2 linked regions of the Lonchura striata genome follow. The protein of the gene in region 1 purifies or fractionates together with the protein of each later gene. This does not show direct contact. Links are inferred from orthologs where the notes say so. Each region holds a gene or a part of one and is shown in the gene's direction. Other genes may lie near its edges.

Region 1 (10,815 bases):
AGGTTTTAATGTCAATTTTGTAGAATGATGGAAAAGTTTGGGTGGGAAGGGATCTTAAAATAATCTTTTGCCACCATGGCAGGACACCTCCCACTGTCCCAGGCTGCTCCAGCCCCAGTGTCCAGCCTGGCCTTGGACATTCCAGGGATCCAGGGGCAGCCCCAGCTGCTCTGGCAATCCCAGCCCAGCCAGGAATTCCTAATTTCCTAATTCCCAAGATCCCATCCCTGGCTGCCCTCTGGCAGTGGAAGCAATTCCCTGTGTCCTTGTTCTCCAGGTGCTCACGTGGAGAAGGGAAGGATCCAGGGAGAGCTTCCAGCACATTCCAGAGGCTCCAGGAGAGCTGCAGAGGGACTGGGGACAAGGATGGAGGGACAGGACCCAGGGAATGGCTCCCACTGCCAGAGGGCAGCCAGGGATGGGAGATTGGGAATGAGGAATTCCTGGCTGGGCTGGGATTGCCAGAGCAGCTGGGGCTGCCCCTGGATCCCTGGAATGTCCCAGGAAGGACTGGAGCACCCTGAGATCATGGCAGGTGGCCCTGGAATGAGCTCTGAGGTCCCTTCCCACCCAAACTGGTCCAGGATTCTGGGATTTGGGACACTCAGGATCCATCCCGAGGGATTTTTATGGAAAATGGGGATAGAAAAGAAAGGAAAAGGGAAAGGAGACCCTTCATGGCTTCCTGGGATTCCAAGTGAAGCCCTTGGGTCCATGAATTTCTTGGAGAGGAGATGGATCCAATGTCAGGCTGGGAGAGCTGGGAATGTTCCCCTGGAGAAGGGAAGGATCCAGGGAGAGCTTCCAGCACATTCCAGGCCCTGAAGGGGCTCCAGGAGAGCTGCAGAGGGACTGGGGACAAGGATGGAGGGACAGGATCCAGGGAATGGCTCCCACTGCCAGAGGGCAGCCAGGGATGGGATTTTGGGAATGAGGAATTCCTGGCTGGGCTGGGATTGCCAGAGCAGCTGGGGCTGCCCCTGGATCCCTGGAATGTCCAAGGAAATGTTGGACACTGGGGCTGGAGCCCCTGGGACAGTGGGAGGTGTCCCTGCCATGGATGGGGTGGCACTGGGTGATCCTTAAGATCCTTTCCAAGTCCTTCTATGATTCCATGATTTCCCATAAGTAATCAGGAAGTTTCCACCCAAGCTGGGAATTCCTGGAGGTTTTCTTTTCAAAGCTCTGCTAACAATGGTACTTTTCCACTTGGGATGATTCCAGGCTGTGATATTCCAAAGCCTTCAGGAAATAAGGGATTATCTCTCGTTCCTCGCCTTGCTCAGGCAACTGGGGCGCTTGACAGGGACAATTCTCCAACCTTTTCCATGCACAAGTCCCTGGTGTGGTCAAGGGACACTTCACCATCCAGGTGGGAATTCCTGAGGCCCCCCAGCAGCTCCAAGGAAGGGGAAGCTGGGGGGATGCAGCACCACAAGTGGAAGTGGTTGAGGAATTCCAGGTTTCTCCATGGATGTGGCTCGTGGAAGGGGTTGTGTTGTTGGATGTGATTCTTGAACTGGAGATTTTTGGGTAAAAAAAAGCTGGATTTTAGGTCAGGACTAGAAATTAGTCCAGTGTCCAAAGGGAGACAAACACCCATCCTGGATGGATCCATCTCCTTCTAGGGCAAAAATATTCCTTTGAATTCATTTTCCAGAAAGAGAAACCAAAACCCTGCCTCAAGGAGCAGAATGGGCCAAACTCCAACTTTTGTTTTCCTGTGAGGATTTCAGCAGGATTTAATTTCTTATCAGCTCTCACAGGTTCTTGCACAGAGCGCACAAAACGTGCTCAGGCCGTGAGTTCGTCTTCTCAGAAGTATTTGTGATTCATCCCTGATAATTCCATGTGCTCGGGGAAAACAATCCCAAAAAATAGTTCGTAAAGCTCAGGTTGGCAGCCTGGGATGGTTTCCCATCAGGTTCATTACTTCCATTTTAATTACCTACTATTAATGCAGCAAGAAGCAGTTGCTGGGCCTGGATTCTGTCCCAAAGCAGCGCTGCGCGTTGTGCTTGGAGGCACCTGGAAAAGTCAAAATATTGCCTTGGTGTCGCTGTCGAGGCAGGATGGGAATGAGAAGACTCTGACCAGAAGGCTGTGAGAGTAAAACTCCGATTTATTCAAAATACACTGCTCTTTATACAGAGCTTTGTGAGGACCAACTCCATTGGTTCTGAAATGAAAACAACCCAAAGCATTGGTGCAAAGTGCTTGACGCACAGTGATAGAAATTCACTATAAACAATGTGAAAAACAAGAGAAATAAAGAATTATTTGCATTCTTTCCCAGCACTTTCCCAGGTTTCTGCCTGGCTAGAAACTCTGTTTCTTCCTTTGAATCTGAGTCCCACACCTTGGAAATGAAGAGGGATGGAGAAAGGAAAAAAATCCTATGGTAACATTTTGTGTTATGGGAATTATGAGTTTTTTTGTTTTTTTTTTATGAGAGGAGGAGGACAAGGAGGAGAAGGAGGAGAAGGAGAAAGGAGGAGGAGAAAGGAGGAGGAGAAGGAGAAGGAGAAGGAGAAGGAGAAGGAGAAAAAAGAGAGATGGAGGAATAGGAAAGGAGAAGGAGAGGGAGAAGGAGAGAAGGAGGAGGAGGAGAAGGAGAAGGAGAAAAGAAGGAGAAGGAAAAGGAGGAGGAGAAGAGAAGGAGAAAAAGGAGAGAAGGAGAAAAAGGAGAGAAGGAGGAGGAGGAGGAAATGGAGAAGGAAAAGGAGAGAAGGAGGAGGAGGAGGAAATTGAGAAGGAGAGGGAGAAGGAGAAGGAGAGAAGGAGAAGGAGAAAAAGGAGAAAAGGAGGAGAAGGAGAAGAAGAAGGAGAGGAGAAGGAGAAGGAGAAAAAGGAGAGGAGGAGGAGGAGAAGGGGAAAGAGAAGGAGAGAAGGAGGAGGAGGAGAAGGAGAAGGAGAGGAGGAGGAGAAGGAGGAGAAGAAGGAGAAGGAGGAGGAGGAGAAGGAGGAGGAGAAGGAGGAGGAGGAGGAGAAGGAGAAAGAAAAGGAGAGAAGGAGAAGAAGGAGGAGAAGAAGAGGAGAAGGAGGAGATCCAATGCTAAGCATTGCCATCAACGTCACGCACTCATAAAAGCTAAAACACACCGCATGTAACACTTGCTACGGTTTTACCACCAAAATTTTCCTTTTTTGGCTGAAATTTGTCAGAATCGGTAAAAACGAGGTGGTGGGAAGGAGCCACTGCTGCATTTATGAGCTCGGCCTGGAGCGACTCCAACCTTTCCAGAACTTTCCAAGGGAAATGTGTCCCTGCTGGGGTGGCAGAAGCGTGACCCCACAGCTGAGGAAGCCAGAGGAGCTGTGGCCACCTCGGGGGATCTCCGGCGGGATTTTTTGGAACTTCAGCTCCTTTTCGGTGCGAGGGGAAAGCCAGCTGTGAAACCACGCCGGGGGATTTTGGCCACAGGGTCGCTCAAGGTCTCGGCATCTGGTTTGGGGACTTCCAGTTCTCAGATGTTTTTGAGAATCAGCTTTTTCCCAAAGAGAATGAGCAGATTTTGGTCCCGAGCTTTTATTTGAGCCAATTCAATTATTCGAGGACGGAAGAGCACTGAGCCAAACGTGAGGTTGTGAAAATTGCGATTCAATTATTCGAGGATGGAAGAGCACTGAGCCAAACGTGAGGTTGTGAAAATTGCAATTCAATTATTCGAGGACGGAAGAGCACTGAGCCAAACGTGAGGTTGTGAAAATTACGATTAAATTATTCGAGGATGGAAGAGCACTGAGCTAAACGTGAGGTTGTGAAAATTGCGATTAAATTATTCGAGGACGGAAGAGCACTGAGCCAAACGTGAGGTTGTGAAAATTGCGATTCAATTATTTGAGGATGGAAGAGCACTGAGCCAAACGTGAGGTTGTGAAAATTGCGATTAAATTATTCGAGGACGGAAGAGCACTGAGCCAAACGTGAGGTTGTGAAAATTCCAGCTGGAGGTTTGGACACGTCCCCTTTTCCCTGTAAATAACATTCCCAGAGGGATTCTCCTGAAAAAAAAAAAAAACAAAAGTGAATTTGGACCTTTTTGCATTCTCTGAGGGGCGAGAAGGAAGAGGGAAGATTTTCCACCCTCACTTTCTAGGAATAAATAAATGTCCATCACGTGGGATTTGGTTCCTTTTCCGCTTTCTAGAATTAATTCCAGTCAGCTGGGGAAACCCTTTTAAATTTTATTTTTCCTTTTGAAAGTTTACTTTCACGGTGAAAGTTTATCTTTCCTTTTTAAAGCTTATCTTTAAAGTCAGCAATAATCAAATTCCACTTGGCTCTGCTGTGAGTTATGATAGGCTGGGGGTCTTGAATCCGTGCTAAATCACTGGGAAAACTTGGAAATAAAATCCAAATATTCCCCTTGGAATTAAAGCTGCGCTGTTCTCCTCGACCTCTACAAGCGCTTGAAGTTGTTCCGGAGGGAGAAAAACTGCAGGAAAAACTTGTTTGTGGGATTTGCTTTGAGATTTGGTTTGGGAGCAGTTCCTGTGCCGGCAGCTGGCTGAGATGAGGAAAATCCAAGTGGAAAATGCAGAGTTGGGAGCGTGGCAAAAAGAGCTTTGAGCTTCTGGAGGTGGGAGGAAATTTGGGGAAGAATCCCTGGCGGGGGTTTGATTTTCCCTCGTTGTCCTGGGGGGATAAATCCTGGGGTAAATGGCCTGCTCCTGCTGCCCAGCCGTGGAAAAGCCAATCCCGGAGGTTCCCGGGTTAAAAAAAAGGTTGGGGGTCTAAAATTGGGGGTTTTGGTGGTTCTGTTGTGCCCCAGGTTTTTGGGGGGGTTGTAAAGTGTTGAGGAAGGAGAGAGTAATCTCAGCGGAGAGGCTAATGAAATGGGAAATATAATAATAATAAATAAAAATAATAAGTATTAAATGATAAATATTAAATAATATATAATAAATAATAAATAAAATTAAATCATAAAAAGTAAAATATAAAATAATATAAAGTAATAAAATTATTCTATTCTATTCTATTCTATTCTATTCTATTCTAATAATATAATATCGTATCATATTATATAATATCACATTATATTATATAATATAATATTATATCATATTATGTTATATTATATTACATTACATTACATTGTATTACATATTATATTATATTATATTATATTATATTATATTATATTAATTATATCACATCACATTATATTATATCACATCACATCACATCACATTATATCATATCACATTATATTATGTATTATATCATATTATGTTATATTATATTATATTACATTGCATTACATTACATTACATTATATCACATTTTATCACATTACATAATATATTGCAATATGTAATATATCTAACGTTATACATAGTATATAATATATAACACATTTAATAAATAATACTATGTAATAAAATATAACTTATACTAAACAATATCATAAACACAACATTTAATATATTGCAATATAGAAAACGTTATATATTATAATAATGCATGTAATAAGTGCTATATATAATATTTAATATAATATATAATACATCTCATTTGAACACCATCAAATCTCCTAGAATTTTAACATTTTAACCTCAAAAAACCCTTTAAAAGATCACTGACACTCTTAAAAAAAAAATACCAAACACAACATTATACTCCAAAAAACCTTTTTATTCTACTCAAAAAAACCCTTATTATTATACTCCAAAAAAAACCTGTTTTTCCTCACACAAAACAACACCTCACCTTGGTTTTGTAATCTCAGCCACCTGCAGGAAGAGGAATAATTCCAAAATAAATTTATCAGAATATACCCATTTCTAACCCCAAAATGAGACCACTAAAAAGCATTTTAAGAACTTTTATTCCATTTTCAATCTCACATAAAAATTAATACAACTCTGTTAATTCGGTGTGAATTTGATGTGGATTCCGTGTGAATTTGATGGAAATTCAGTGTGAATTCGATGGAAATTCAGTGTGAATTTGATGTGAATTCCGTGTGAATTCAATGGAAATTCCGTGAGAATCTGATGGAAATTCAGTGCAAAAATCAATGGAAATTCGGTGTGAATTTGAAGGAAATTCCATATGAATTCAATGGAAATTCCGTGTGAATTTGATGTAAATTCCGTGTGAATTCCATGGAAATTCCATGTGAATTCCATGGAAATTCGGTGTAAATTCGATGTGAATTCCATGTGAATTCAATGGAAATTCCTTGTAAACCCCACACGAGTCCCTGTTTCTCAGCCAGGAGCGCAGATAGTTTATATTTATTCATTTATTCATTTATTCATTAATTTCTCTCTCCGCCCGCCAGCGCAACCTCGCTCCCCTCACAAAATAACGACGCGGCTCCTTTAAGACGCGCCCTCGCTCTGGCCCCGCCCTTTCAGCGCGCGGGTGGGGGCGTGGCTTGGCTTGAGTTTGATTGACAGCGGGGCTATCCAATCAGGTGCCAGAGATCGGGGTGGGGCGGGGCTTCCGGCGGGGCAGCTGAGGCGGCGGCGCTCGGAGGGAGCGGGGCCGCCATGATCAAGAAGTTCGATAAAAAGGACGAGGAGTCCGGTACGGGGGGGCTGGGGGTGAGGAGAGCGGTGCTGGGGCGAGGAGAGGGCTGAGGTGTGCTGGGGTGACAGCGGGGGAAGAGGTGAGGGGGATGCCGAGGTGACAGCGGGGTGGAGATGAGAGAGGTGAGGGAGATGCTGAGCTGAGGGGAGGCTGAGCTGGGGGCAGGGAGATGCTGAGGGGTGAGGGAGATATTGAGGTGAGGGAATTGCTAAGGGAATGGCTGAGGTGAGGGAGATGCTGAGGGGTTTGAGGGAGATGCTGAGGTGAGGGGAGGCTGAGCTGGGGTGAGGGAGAGGCTGAGGGGTGAGGGAGATGCTGAGGGGTGAGGCAATGGCTGAGGTGAGGGAGAGGCTGAGTTGAGGGGAGGGGGATGCTGAGGGCAGGGAGATGCTGGGGGAGGGAATTGCTGAGGGGTGAGGGAGAGGCTGAGGGGTGAGGGAATTGCTAAGGGGATGCTGAGGTGAGGGAATTGCTAAGGGGGTGCTGAGGTGAGGGAATTGCTAAGGGGATGCTGAGGTGAGGGAATTGCTAAGGGGATGCTGAGGGGTAAGGGAATGGCTGAGGTGAGGGAAATGCTGAGGTGTGAGGGAGATGCTGAGGGGATGCTGAGGTGAGGGAGAGGCTGAGGGGTGAGTGAGATGCTGAGGGAGAGGCTGAGGGGAAGGAATGGCTGAGGGGTGAGGGAATGGCTGAAGTGGAGAGGGATGCTGAGGTGAAATAGAATTCCCAGAGCAGCTGTGGCTGCCCCTGGATCCCTGGAAGTGGCCAAGAGCAGGCTGGAGCGGGCTGGGATAGTGGAAGGTGTCCCTGCTGATGACAGGAGGTGGAAGTGAATGATCCTTAAATCTCCTTCCGAGCCATCCCGTGGGTCTGTGATCTCTCACAGCTCGTGGGGTATTTGTGTTTCAGCTGTAAGAACTGACTGCCGAAATATTTCTCCCCTCTGGTGACAAATCCAGAGGAATTGGGGTCTGTTTGCTCTCCCTTTATCCACAGATGATTTTTAGAGAGGATTTTATCCCTGTCTCTGCTCAGTGCAGATGTTTCATCCCTCAAAAAAAGGAGAGTTGATTACATGTGTTTATATACATATACTAAACCTATATAACATAATAACACACATACCCTATGTATTTATATAATAAACCCTAAATAATAACCCTAACCCTGAACGGTGAGCTGATGTATGGAAAGAAAAGAAACCTCTCTTTTTAGTCATTTTGCTGCACAAAGCAAAATCCAAAATGTTTCAGAGGAGCCTTTCCAAACTTTCTCTGTCTGAGCTGTGCCTGCGTATCTGGAATTCACACCAGGGACTTACATTGATATTATAAGTTGTGAGTTTTATGATATTTTATTAATAAGTTATAAAATGATTAATTGTTTTTTTTTTAGGTAAGGTTTTTTTAAGGTTAAATTATTTAATTAAGAAATTATATTTAAATTATTTTTACTTTTAATTTAATAGCTAATTATTTGGAGTTTGTAATGTGGACTTTTTTGTTTGGTTACAAAACATTATTTAAGTGAACTGGAAATGAGGAATTCCTGTTTGGGAGGAGAGGATCGGGAGCAGAAGTGAGGCTGTGGGTGGGACTAATGTGGCTGAAAAGTTTTTTTTCACATCCTGATCTGCATCTCTGCTTTTGGTGCCTGAAGGAATAAAAACAGGTACATTAGGAAAGTAGAAAAAGGAATTAGTTCTATGTAAAGGCCATTTAGGTATTAAAAATATTAAGTATATAAAAGGCATTTTAAATAACAGTTTTCTTCTTCCTCTCCTTTTTTTTTTTATTTTTTACCTTCTTTCTATAACTCTGAATATATCACTTAAGAAAGTGGATTTAAAGCTGTTGATGGCCAACATCAATTATTCAGAGAGGAACATCACTGGTTTGAGGTGGTTTGGTAAAATTTTGGGGGTGTTCCTGCCTGTCCAGACCAGTTGGGATGTGTGAGGAATTAATTTTTTTTCCTCAACTGAGAGGTCTCTTTTTTTTCCTCAGGGAGTGGCTCCAATCCTTTCCAGCATCTGGAGAAGAGTGCTGTGCTTCAGGAGGTAGGAGTAATCACAGGATAATGCCATTTCATTAATGATCTTTTCCTTCAGGAAGCGTTGCAGAATGATTGTGGGGAAATGTGGATGGCTAAATTCATAGAATTAAATAAAAATCACAGAGAGTGTAAATAAATTAATTTTATCTGCAGTTAATGAGGGTTTTTTTTAGGATAATTAGATGACACGTGGCTTCTGCCTTCCATATGGACATGTGGCATCTCAGGGGGCTCTTCCTGGACAAAAAATGTTTTATTTTCAGGCATTTTTGCCTGTTCCAGATGGCAAATTGAGTTGTTTGTGCTTTGTTCAGATTGCTGCAAACGAAAGATGCAAGAACACATTCTCTGGGACACATATTTAATAGAAATAAAAATTACAAGCTGCTCAGCTGGAAACATTCATTTAATTCTGCACATTCTCTGAGACTCATATTTAATACAAATACATATTACAAGCTGCTCATCTGGAAACAGATTCATTTAATTTTGATGTTGAAAGAGAAATAATAATAAAATTGTTATTATTATTGGGATCTATTCAAGCAGAATTTGTTTCATTTCCAGGCACGGCTCTTCAATGAAACCCCAATAAACCCACGAAGATGCCTCCACATCCTTACCAAGATCCTCTACCTGCTGAACCAGGTAACTGTTAGGATTTCTCTCCATCCAGAATGAATTTTAATAATGTTTTAGTGGGAAATATATAATCTTTTTAGAGGGAAAGAAGTTTTCCACAAGGAAAACACCTTGGGAAGCTTCCATCCCTGTGGAGGGCATTTAGAGTGGAGAGAATTGTGAATTCCCTGGGAATGCAAGGATGGTTTCTTACAGGAGAAAGTCTCCAAGGAGAGATTCCTGCTGTGTGGGAGGGCATTAGCAAAAGGAGCTGGATAATTCCTGCTTTTCCTCTCTGCCAATTCCAGGGTGAACACTTCGGAACCACGGAAGCCACGGAAGCTTTTTTTGCCATGACCAGGTTGTTTCAGTCTAACGACGTAAGGACCTGGTGCTTTGCCTCTCCCTGCTTCTGCCTGGGCTTGCAGGAGCTGCCAAACCTTTGGAATTTGGGATGTGGGAGGCAAGCAGTGCACAGGAGGAGCTCTGGAGGCAGTTCCAGCTTTGGAAACAGAGGAGTGGATAATAACCTGTGGTTGTTCTGTGGGGTGGGTTGGGGGTGGAGGTGGGTTCTGAGTGAATTCCTGCTGTAAAAGTGGGGATAATGGCAAAGCCTGGATTCACAAATCTGTGGCACTTGTTGCTTCCCCTTGCAAATCGCCATCTGCTGAATTGGAAATCCTAAAACTGCCTGCAGATCAAAGGCTGCTGTTCCTTAGAACATGGGTCAGCCTTCATCACATTGAGGCAAGGGATGGGAGCACCCTAAAAATCACAGAATGGTTTGGGGGTTGAATTTGGGATTTCATCTTTGGGCTCAGCAGAGTGTAAAGTCCTTCTGTGATCTCTTCTGCAGAGTGTGAGAACTCAGAGCAGTGTGTTTCATGTGATGGGGCTCATTAATTTTAATTTAAAGTGGTTTGCTTGTTAGAGATTTGTTCAAGGAAGATGTAGCTGTTCGTTTTTGGAAGTACAGAGTGTTTGAAATGTTTCTCATATCCTCATTTAAAAAGTAGATTTTTAGAAGTTAACTTTTTTATAAAATAAAAAAAATAAAATAAATTTTATATAAATATTGTATTTATAAATATTATAAAGTTAATTAAAATATTATATAAAATAAAGTTAATTTTTTTCAAAGACAATGCCAACACTCCACATGTGCTTCCATTTCTTTTTTACAATAACAAAGGTATTTTCAAAGCTTATAACTGATGATTGTGGGGCTTCTGAGTACGGATGTGTTGCATCACTTCTTTGATAATTATCATGGATTTTTGTATTAGTTCTTATCATTTTACTAAATACTGATGTCAGGGAGTTTGGCTCTTACCCAGGGATCAAATGTAGTTCTACACTTCTAACTTTGAATTGAAAGCAATGTGTTTTGTTTGAAAGCTTATTTTTCTAAGTGAACCATTTAATTTTTATGTTCATTTACCGTTTGGAACTTGTATTTACCACTGAGTTTAATCTTTTTCTCCACGTTTCCACAGCAAACCCTCAGAAGAATGTGTTACCTCACAATCAAAGAGATGGCCAATATCTCTGAGGATGTCATCATTGTCACCAGCAGGTGGGACACCGGGGTCACC
Region 2 (10,434 bases), on another chromosome or scaffold:
GCCGATTCCCCAAGCACGGGGCCACCCCTGGGTGCTCCCTGTCCCTGCCAGCTCCGGGACTGTCCCCAGTGTCCCCCTGTCACCCCGCTGTCCCCCCTGACCCCGCTGTCCCCCCAGGCAGCAATTTCGGGGGCGGGGGCAGCTACAACGACTTCGGCAGCTACAACAACCAGGCCTCGAGCTTCGGGCCCATGAAGGGCGGCAGCTTCGGGGGGCGCAGCTCGGGGCCCTACGGCGGCGGTGAGTCCCCAAAAACCCCAAAAATCATCTAGGGAACCCCCAAAATATCCCAAATGTCCCGGGGGCAGCTTTGGGGGGGCGCAGCTCAGGGCCCTACGGTGGTGGTGAGTCCCAAAAAACCCCAAAAATCATCTAGGGAACCCCCAAAATATCCCAAATGTCCCGGGGGCAGCTTCGGGGGGCGCAGCTCGGGGCCCTATGGCAGTGGTGAGTCCCAAAAACCTCCAAAAATCACCTGGGGAACCCCCAAAACCCCCCTGGGAACCCCAAAATATCCCAAATGTCCCGGGGGCAGCTTTGGGGGGGCGCAGCTCGGGGCCCTACGGTGGTGGTGAGTCCCAAAAACCTCCAAAAATCATCTAGGGAACCCCCAAAACCCCCCTGGGAACCCCAAAATATCCCAAATGTCCCGGGGGCAGCTTCGGGGGGCGCAGCTCGGGGCCCTACGGTGGCGGTGAGTCCCCAAAAACCCCAAAAATCACCTGGGGAACCCCAAAATATCCCAAATGTCCCGGGGGCAGCTTCGGGGGGTGCAGCTCGGGGCCCTACGGCGGCGGTGAGTCCCCAAAAACCCCAAAAATCACCTGGGGAACCCCCAAAATATCCCAAATGTCCCGGGGGCAGCTTCGGGGGGCGCAGCTCGGGGCCCTACGGCGGTGGTGAGTCCCCAAAAACCCCAAAAATCACCTGGGGAACCCCCAAAACCCCCCTGGGAACCCCAAAATATCCCAAATGTCCCGGGGGCAGCTTCGGGGGGCGCAGCTCGGGGCCCTATGGCAGCGGTGAGTCCCCAAAAATCACCCGGGGAGCCCCAAAATATCCTGGGGAACCTCAAAAACCACATTGAGGACCCCAAAAATCACCTTGGGGGAGCTTAATTTGTATTGGGGCGGCCTTAAAATAACCTGGGGGGGGCTCAAAATGTGCTGGGAGGACCCCAAAACAAACTGGGGCGATCCCAGAATGTCCTGGCAGGGCTCTGGGGTCACTGGGGGTCCCCAAATGTCCCCCCCCGATTTTTGGGTGTCCCTGAATCCCCTCCTGGTTCCACAGGCGGCTACGGCAGCTCCAGCGGCGGCGGCAGCTACGGAGGAGGGAGGAGGTTTTAACGGCCAGGTGAGGGGAAAAACGGGGGGAAAGGAGGGGAAAATGGGGGAAAAAACAGGGAAAAAAGGTGGGGAAAGTTGGGAGAAAATAGGGAAAAAAGGTGGGGAAAATTTGGGAAAAGGGGGAGAAAAATATGGGAAAAAAGGTGGGGGAAATAAGGGAAAAATATGGGGAAAAGGTGGGGAAAATATGAGAAAATCTTGGGAAAAAATTGGGGGAAAATGGGGAAAATATGGGAAAATGGGGAAAATATGGGGAAATGGGGAGAAAATATGGGGAAAATATGGGAAAGAATGTGGGAAAAAATGGGAAGATAATTGGGAGAAGAAATTATGAATTGGTCAGGGAGAAGGGAGAGGAAAATAAAACGATGGGAGGGATTTCAGGCAGAAAAGTGGGAAAACAGGAAAAAAAAGGTTGGGAAAAGATGAAGTGGGAGGGATGAAGGGAAGGGTTGGGGAAAATGGAAAAAAAGGGGGAAAAGAAGATTGGGGGAAAAAAAGAAAAGAGGGAAGCGAGAAAAGGTTGGAAAGGAGAAAAAGCTGGGAAGAGATGGAGGAAATGGTTAAAATTGGGAGATAAAGTGATGGAAAATGGGGAAATAACAGGAAAAGGTGGAAAAAGGATGGGAATGAAGGGAAAGGGGAGGTGGGAATTGCAGCGGGGCTGGGGCTGGGATCGGGCAGGGTCATGGGGATCGGGGCAGGGATGGGAATGGGAATGGGATGGGATGGGAATGGGATTGGAGCAGGAATGAGAATGGGATCTGGGATGGAAATGGGAATGGGGCAGGGATGGGAATGGGATTGGAGCAGGAATGAGAATGGGATCTGGGATGGAAATGGAGCTGGGATTGGGGCTGGGAATGGGAGTGGGGCAGGGATGGGAATGGGATCTGGGATGGAAATGGGAATGGGGCAGGGATGGGAATGGGATCTGGGATGGGATTTGGGAATGGGATGGGAATGGGGCAGGATTGGGGCAGGGATGGGAATGGGATCTGGGCAGGGATTGGGGTTGGGAATGGGGCCAGGATTGGGGCAGGGATGGGAATGGGAATGGGGCTGGGAATGGGAATGGGATTGGAGCAGGAATGAGAATGGGATTGGAGCAGGAATGAGAATGGGATCTGGGATGGAAATGGAGCTGGGATTGGGGCTGGGAATGGGAGTGGGGCAGGGATGGGAATGGGAATGGGATGGGATTTGGCAATGGGATCTGGGATGGGATTTGGGAATGGGATGGGAATTTGGCAGGATTGGGGCAAAGATTGGGGCAGGGATGGGAATGGGATCTGGGCAGGGATTGGGGTTGGGAATGGGGCCAGGATTGGGGCAGGGATGGGAATGGGAATGGGATGGAAATGGAGCTGGGATTGGGGCTGGGACTGCCGCTGGGTTTGGGGCTGGGATGGGAATGGGATCTGGGATGGGAATGGGATCTGGGATGGGAATGGGATCTGGGCAGGGATTTGGGCCAGGATTGGGGCTTGGACTGGAGCTGGGTTTGGGGCTGGGATGGGAATGGGATCTGGGATGGGAATGGGATCTGGGCAGGGATTTGGGCCAGGATTGGGGCTGGGACTGGAGCTGGGTTTGGGGCTCTGCCCCTCCTGGAGCCCCCAACACCGGAGCTGCTCCTGATCCCAATCCCAGTGCTGATCCCAGCCCCGATCCTGACTGCCCCAATCCTGATCCCAGCGCTGACCCTGCCCCAATCCCGAACCCAATCCTGACCCCGATCCTGCCCCAGTCCCGATCCCAAAATCCCAATCCTGATCCCAGTGCTGACCCTGCCCCAATCCCGAACCCAATCCTGACCCCGATCCTGCCCTGAGCCCAATCCCAAAATCCCAATCCTGATCCCAGTGCTGACCCTGCCCAATCCTGATCCCAATCCTGACCCCGATCCTGCCCCAATCCCAATCCCAAAATCCCAATCCCAAAATCCCAATCCTGATCCCAGTGCTGACCCTGCCCAATCCTGATCCCAATCCTGACCCCGATCCTGCCCTGAGCCCAATCCCAAAATCCCAATCCCAAAATCCCAATCCTGATCCCAGTGCTAACCCTGCCCCAATCCTGATCCCAATCCTGACCCCGATCCTGCCCTGAGCCCAATCCCAAAATCCCAATCCCAAAATCCCAATCCTGATCCCAGTGCTAACCCTGCCCCAATCCTGATCCCAATCCTGACCCCGATCCTGCCCTGAGCCCAATCCCAAAATCCCAATCCCAAAATCCCAATCCTGATCCCAGTGCTGACCCTGCCCCAATCCCGAACCCAATCCTGACCCCGATCCTGCCCCGATCCCAATCCCAAAATCCCAACCCCGATCCCGGCGCTGACCCTGCCCCGATCCCAATCCCAAAATCCCAATCCCAAAATCCCGATCCCGGTGCTGACCCTGCCCCTCTGTCCCGCAGGAGCCGGAGCTGGGCGGGAGCCGGGGCAGCCCCAGGAGCCGGAGCCGGAGCTGGGCCGGGAGAGCCCCGGGACCCCCCTGGGAACCTCTGGGGACCACCCGGGACCCCCCTGGATCCCCCAGGACCCTCTGGGGACCCCCCAGGATCCCCCCTGGGACCCCCCAGGATCCCCCGGGATTCCCCTGGGACCCTCTGGGGACCCCCCGGGATCCCCCCGGGACCCCTCTGGATCCCCCAGGACCCTCTGGGGACCTCCCAGGATCCCCCCGGGACCCCCCGGGATTCCCCTGGGACCCTCTGGGGACCCCTGGGATCCCCCCGGGATTCCCCCCGGGACCTCCGGGAATCCCCCGGGACCCCCGGGGCCGGGTCCCCCCGTAGTTCCCGAGCGGAGCGGCCGGAACCCCCCCGTGTCCTGTACCCCCCCCCCTCAATAAATGTCTCTTGGGTTTTTTTTTTAATTGGTTTTTATCATCATTGTTAATTTCAGAGCTGGGGGTGGCTGCTTCCTCCTGATTGGTCACCGCAGCTGTCAGTCACAGCCTGGCTCCGCCCCACCTGACTGTCGTGTCCCCAGGTGTCCCAAAGTGTCCCCAAAGTGTCCCCTGGGTGTCCCTGAGTGTCCCCAGGTGTCCCTGAGTGTCCCCAGGGTGTCCGCAGATGTCCCCAGGGTGTCCCTGGGTATCCCAGGGTGTCCTAGAATGTCCCCAGGGTGTCCCCAGGTGTCCCAAAGTGTCCCCAAAGTGTCCCCTGGGTGTCCCTGGGTATCCCAGGGTGTCCCTGAGTATCCCCAGGGTGTCCCTGGGTATCCCAGGGTGTCCCTGAATGTCCCCAGGGTGTCCCCAGGTGTCCCAAAGTGTCCCCAAAGTGTCCCCTGGGTGTCCCTGAATGTCCCCAGGGTGTCCCACCCCCCCCCATCACTGATTGCCACCTTCCCCTTTTGAAGGAGCCCTCGGAGGTGAGCCTGGCGACACTCTGGGGACACTTTGGGGACACCCTGGGGACACTCAGGGACACCCTGGGACACCCTGGGGACACTCAGGGACACCCTGGGGACACCTGGGGACACCCTGGGGACACCCTGGGGACACTGCAGGGACAGGGCTGGGGACGAAGCAGCCACGGAGGGGCCAGACACAACACCTGGCGGATGACACGGGGGTGCCACCGCTGTCCCCCAGAGTCCCCAGATGTCCCCAGCCCCTGGTGGGTGATACAGAGGTGCCACCCCTGTCCCCAAATGTCCCCAAGTGTCCTCAGCTGTCCCCAAGTGTCCCCCAATGTCCCCCGCTGTTCTCCAAACGGCCCCATTAATATCCCCAGATGTCCCCAAATGTCCCCAGTGGCCCCAAATGTCCCCAAATGTCCCCAAATGTCCCCAGATGTCCCCAAATGTCCCCAATGCCCCCATTAATCTCCCCAAATCTCCCCCCTGTCCCCGCCCCCCCCCCGTGACACGCTCCGGGCGCCATCAGCAGAACAGGCCCCACTTCCGGTCACGTGCGCGCCGAGCCAGCCAATCAGCCCAGCCCCGGTAAAGCGGTGACGTCAGCGCTTCCCCGGTCACTATGGCAACTGCGCCGCCCCCTCCGCTTCCGGCAGCGCCGTGCAGCCGTGATTGACAGCTAGATCGTCCAATCAACGCCTGTCTAGGGAAGCGCGGGAAAGACTGGTCCGCCCACCGCGCGGAAGCGCGCAGCGATTGGTGGGGTGGAGGAAGAATTGGACCAATCAGGCCGGCGGGGTGGGGCCAACGAGAGTGATTGGCAGGCGAGCAGCCAATCAGCGGCGGGCGCTCTTCCGGCTCCACGTCGGCAGCGGCGGAGGCAAAATGGAGACGCTGGTGCTGGTGAGGGACGGGGAAACTGAGGCACGGGCGAACTGGGAGTACTGAGGAGAAACTGAGGCACGGGAGGGACTGGGGGGCCTGGTGGGAAACTGAGGCACGGGGGGGACTGGGGGGACTGAGGCACGGGGGGAACTGAGGGTACTGAGGGGAAACTGAGGCATGGGGGGGACTGGGAGTACTGAGGGGAAACTGAGGCACGGGGGGGACTGGGGGGCCTGGTGGGAAACTGAGGCACGGGGGGAACTGAGGGTACTGAGGGGAAACTGAGGCACGGGGGGACTGGGAGTACTGAGGGGAAACTGAGGCACGGGGGAACTGGGAGTACTGAGGAGAAACTGAGGCACGGGGGGAACTGGGGTACTGAGGGGAAACTGAAGCACGGGGGGAACTGGGGGGGTTCAGTCCAACACTGGGCAGTGACACTGGGGACAGTTTGGGGACAATTTGGGGACAGTTTGGCAGAGTTTGGGTGCCCGGGCCGGGGTTCTGTCCTACACTGGGCTGTGGCTCTGGGGACAGTTTTGGGGACAGGTTGGCACGGTTTGGCACAGGTTGGCACGATTTGGGCACTCAGGCCGGGGTTCTGTCCTACACTGGGCTGTGGCTCTGGGCAGTCAGTGCATCACAGAACTTGGTCCTGGGCACCCCCGGCACCGCGGGACCCGCTGGGACAGCGACAGGGAGGGGACAGAGGGACAGGGACAGAGGGACAGGGACAGACAGACAGGGGACAGGGACACAGGGACAGGGACACAGGGACAGGGACGGGGGGCACAGGCCGTGGGGACAGGGATGGGGAGGACATGGTGACAGTGACCCCAGCACAGGCTCGCCCGCTGTCCCTGTCCCGGGGGTGGCACTGTCCCTGTCCCTGTCCCCAGGGGTGTGGTGGCACTGTCCTTGTCCCTGTCCTGTCCCGTCCCCAGGAGCCGTCCCTGTACACGGTCAAGGCCATCATCATCCTCGACAACGACGGCGAGCGGCTCTTCGCAAAGGTGGGGACACTGGGACACCCAGGGGACACCCAGGGGGGATATTGGGGACACTCAGGGGACACTGGGGACAGCCAGGGGACACCTTGGGGACAGGGGCACAGTGCCCTGAGGGGGATGCGGCTCTGGGCAAGGGCCAGGGTGGGTGGCACGGGTGTCAAGGGGTGGCCGATGTCCCTGATGATGTCCCCGTGTCCGTGTCCCCATGTCCCCGATGATGTCCCCATGTCTGTGTCCCCATGTCCCCGATGATGTCCCCATGTCCCCATGACGTCCCGTGTCTGTGTCCCAGTACTACGATGACACGTACCCCAGCGTGAAGGAGCAGCGCGCCTTCGAGAAGAACATCTTCAACAAGACCCACCGCAGTGACAGTGAGTGACACCGAGGGGACACTGAGGGGACACTGAGTGACACAGGGGTGGCACGGGGGTGACACGGGGTCACAGGGACACAGGACATCTTCAGCAAGACCCACCGCAGTGACAGTGAGTGACACGGGGACACTGAGGGGACACTGAGTGACACGGGGGTGGCACTGTGTGACACAGGGGTGGCACAGGTGACACGCAGGTGACAGTGTGGCTGTCCCCAGGTGAGATCGCGCTGCTGGACGGGCTGACCGTGGTGTACAAGAGCAGCATCGACCTGTACTGCTGCGTCATCGGGAGTGCCACCCAGAACGAGGTGGGACACGGGGACACGGGGACATGGGGGGGACATGGGGGGACAGAGCAGGACAGAGCGGGGACACTGCTGGGACACCGTGGGGACTCTGCAGGGGCACGAGGACACCCAGGGCTGCTGGGGGACCCCAGGTGGATTGTGACCCCGCTGTCCCCTCTGTGTCCCCATGTGACCCCGCTGTCCCCTCTTTGTCCCCTCTGTCCCCTCTGTGTCCCCTCCGTGTCCCCTCTGTCCCCAGCTGATGCTGACGGCCGTGCTGAACTGCCTGTTCGACTCGCTGAGTCAAATGCTGAGGTAGGGACACACTGGGGACACCTGGGGACGCCTGGGACACACCTGGGGACACCTGGGGACACCTGGGACACACCTGGGGACACCTGGGACACCTGGGGACACTCCTGGGGACAGTTCTGTGGGGTGTCCCCGATGTCCCTGTGGGGTATCCGTGATGTCCCCATGTCCCCATATCTCTCTGTCCCCATGTCCCCAATGTCCCCTGTCCCTGTCCCTGTCTCAGGAAGAACGTGGAGCGCCGGGCGCTGCTGGACAACATGGAGGGGCTGTTCCTGGCCGTGGACGAGATCGTGGATGGAGGGTGGGTCCCTGTCCTTGTCCCTGCCACTGCCACTGTCACTGTCACCTCCCTGTCCCTGTCCCTGCCACTGTCACCTCCCCTGTCACCTCGCTGGGACTGTTCACTGCCACTGTCACCTCCTGGGGACTGTCACCTACCTGGGATTGTCACCTCCCTGGGACTGTCACTGTCACCCTGGGACTGGCACTGCCACCCCGGGCTCTGTCCCCGCAGTGCTGAGGTGTCCCTGTCCCCTCTGTCCCTGTCCTGTCCCATCCCTGTCCTGTCCCATCCCTGTCCCCGTCCCTGTCCCATTCCTGTCCTGTCCCATCCCTGTCCCTGTCCCATCCCTGTCCCTGTCCCATCCCTGTCCCCGTCCCTGTCCCATCCCTGTCCTGTCCCATCCCTGTCCCTGTCCCATCCCTGTCCCTGTCCCATCCGTGTCCCCGTCCCTGTCCCATTCCTGTCCTGTCCCATCCCTGTCCCTGTCCTGTCCCTGTCCCCATCCCCATCCCCATCCCTGTCCTGTCCCATCCCTGTCCTGTCCCATCCCTGTCCCCGTCCCTGTCCCATTCCTGTCCTGTCCCATCCCTGTCCCTGTCCCATCCCTGTCCCTGTCCCATCCCTGTCCCTGTCCCATCCGTGTCCCCGTCCCTGTCCCATTCCTGTCCTGTCCCATCCCTGTCCCTGTCCTGTCCCTGTCCCCATCCCCATCCCCATCCCTGTCCTGTCCCATCCCTGTCCCTGTCCCATCCCTGTCCCATTCCTGTCCTGTCCCTGTCCCCGTCCCTGTCCCATCCCTGTCCCTGTCCCATCCCTGTCCCTGTCCCATCCCTGTCCCTGTCCCATCCCTGTCCCCATCCCTGTCCCATTCCTGTCCTGTCCCTGTCCTGTCCTGTCCCTGTCCTGTCCCTGTCCCATCCCTGTCCTGTCCCATCCCTGTCCTGTCCCATCCCTGTCCCTGTCCCATCCCTGTCCTGTCCCATCCCTGTCCCCGTCCCTGTCCTGTCCCATCCCTGTCCCTGTCCCATCCCTGTCCTGTCCCATTCCTGTCCTGTCCCTGTCCTGTCCCATCCCTGTCCCTGTCCTGTCCCTGTCCCTGTCCCCATCCCCATCCCTGTCCTGTCCCATCCCTGTCCCTGTCCCTGTCCTGTCCTGTCCCTGTCCTGTCCTGTCCCTGTCCCATCCCTGTCCCCGTCCCTGTCCCATCCCTGTCCTGTCCCATCCCTGTCCGTGTCCCCTCAGGGTCATCCTGGAGAGTGACCCCCAGCAGGTCGTGCACCGCGTGGCCGTGCGGGTACGGGGGATCTGGGGGGACTGGGGGGCTTTGGGAATTTTAGGGGGGATTGGGGAGAATTTGGGGGTTTGGGAGGGATTTGGTTTTTGGGGGGGATTTGAGTTTTTTTTTGGGGGGGATCTGGGATTTTTGTGGGGGATTGGGAGGGATTTCAGGGGCATTTCAGGGGAATTTAGGGGCATTTGGGGGTCTTGGGAGGGAGTTGGGGTTTTTAGGGGGGAGTTGGGGAGAATTTGGGGTTTTTGGGGGGATTTGGGGGCAGCTGAGGGGGAATCCTGGGTGCCCCCCCTGCTCCAGGCACCCACTGTCCCCTCCCTGTCCCCTCCCTGTCCCCACAGGGCGAGGACGTGCCCCTGACAGAGCAGACGGTGTCACAGGTAGGACCCCAAAAACCCCTTGGGACCCCCCAAAACTCCTGAGAGCCCCAAAAACCCCTTGGGATCCCCAAAAACCTCCTGGGATCCCCCCAAAAAAATCCTGAGAGTCCCAGAAACCCCTTGGGATCCTTAAAAGTCCCCCTGGGACCCCCCAAAAAAATCCTGAGAGCCCCAAAACCCTCCTGAGACCTCCCCAAAACCCCCTGGGACCCCTCCAGGATCCCACCCCCGACCCCTTTGGGCCCCCCAAACCCTTCCAGGGGTGTCCTTGGCCCCCCCAGGTGTCCCCCAGGTGTCCCCCCTGTCCCCAGGTGTCCCCAGCTGTCCCCCCCGTCTGTGTCCCCAGGTGCTGCAGGCGGCGAAGGAGCAGATCAAGTGGACGCTGCTGCGTTAGGGGGACCCCCGGGACCCCCCAAAAACCCCCTGGGACCCCTCCAGGGCACCACCGACCTCTTTGGGCCCCCCCAGACCCTTCCAGGGGTGTCCTTGGCCCCCCCAGGTGTCCCCAGGTGTCCCCGTCTGTGTCCCCAGGTGCTGCAGGCGGCGAAGGAGCAAATCAAGTGGTCGCTGCTGCGTTAGGGGGACCCCCCAAAACCTCCTGGGACCCCCCAAAAACCTCCTGGGACCCCCCCAGGACCTCCCAAAAATCTCCTGGGAACCCCGAAAACCTCCTGGGAGCCACCAGGAAGCACCCAGGAGCCCCCAACAACTCCTGGGACCCCCCCAAAACCTTGTGGGAACCCCCGGGACCCCCCAAAACCCCCCCGGGATGGCCCAGGACCCCCCAAAACCTCCTGGGACCCCACAAAACCCCCTTGAGAGCCCCCCAAAACCTCCTGGGACCCACCCGGGATCCCCCAAAACTCCCCGGGACCCCCCCGTGCC

What was found.
Region 2: the proteins of COPG2 (region 1) and COPZ1 fractionate together in Homo sapiens (co-fractionation; 5 studies listed by BioGRID and IntAct, with this or other methods). This does not show direct contact. The link is inferred for Lonchura striata from reciprocal best matches to the Homo sapiens genes COPG2 and COPZ1.

The regions. Positions count from the first base shown.
Region 1 is NC_134607.1:71,933,610-71,944,424, forward strand, and holds the start of COPG2 (coatomer subunit gamma-2), read left to right. Parts: upstream 1-6,430; 5' UTR 6,431-6,504; coding exon 6,505-6,541; intron 6,542-8,550; coding exon 8,551-8,603; intron 8,604-9,166; coding exon 9,167-9,247; intron 9,248-9,528; coding exon 9,529-9,600; intron 9,601-10,716; coding exon 10,717-10,796; intron 10,797-10,815. UniProt on the Homo sapiens protein: The coatomer is a cytosolic protein complex that binds to dilysine motifs and reversibly associates with Golgi non-clathrin-coated vesicles, which further mediate biosynthetic protein transport from the ER, via the Golgi up to the trans Golgi network.
Region 2 is NC_134629.1:8,454,259-8,464,692, forward strand, and holds the start of COPZ1 (coatomer subunit zeta-1), read left to right. Parts: upstream 1-5,571; 5' UTR 5,572-5,604; coding exon 5,605-5,622; intron 5,623-6,503; coding exon 6,504-6,617; intron 6,618-6,906; coding exon 6,907-6,988; intron 6,989-7,209; coding exon 7,210-7,301; intron 7,302-7,539; coding exon 7,540-7,595; intron 7,596-7,818; coding exon 7,819-7,896; intron 7,897-9,120; coding exon 9,121-9,172; intron 9,173-9,510; coding exon 9,511-9,549; intron 9,550-9,895; coding exon of another isoform or gene 9,896-9,943; exon of another isoform or gene 9,944-10,080; coding exon 10,081-10,128; 3' UTR 10,129-10,434. Other genes in the region: HNRNPA1 (heterogeneous nuclear ribonucleoprotein A1), read left to right, coding at 118-240, 1,294-1,349. UniProt on the Homo sapiens protein: The coatomer is a cytosolic protein complex that binds to dilysine motifs and reversibly associates with Golgi non-clathrin-coated vesicles, which further mediate biosynthetic protein transport from the ER, via the Golgi up to the trans Golgi network.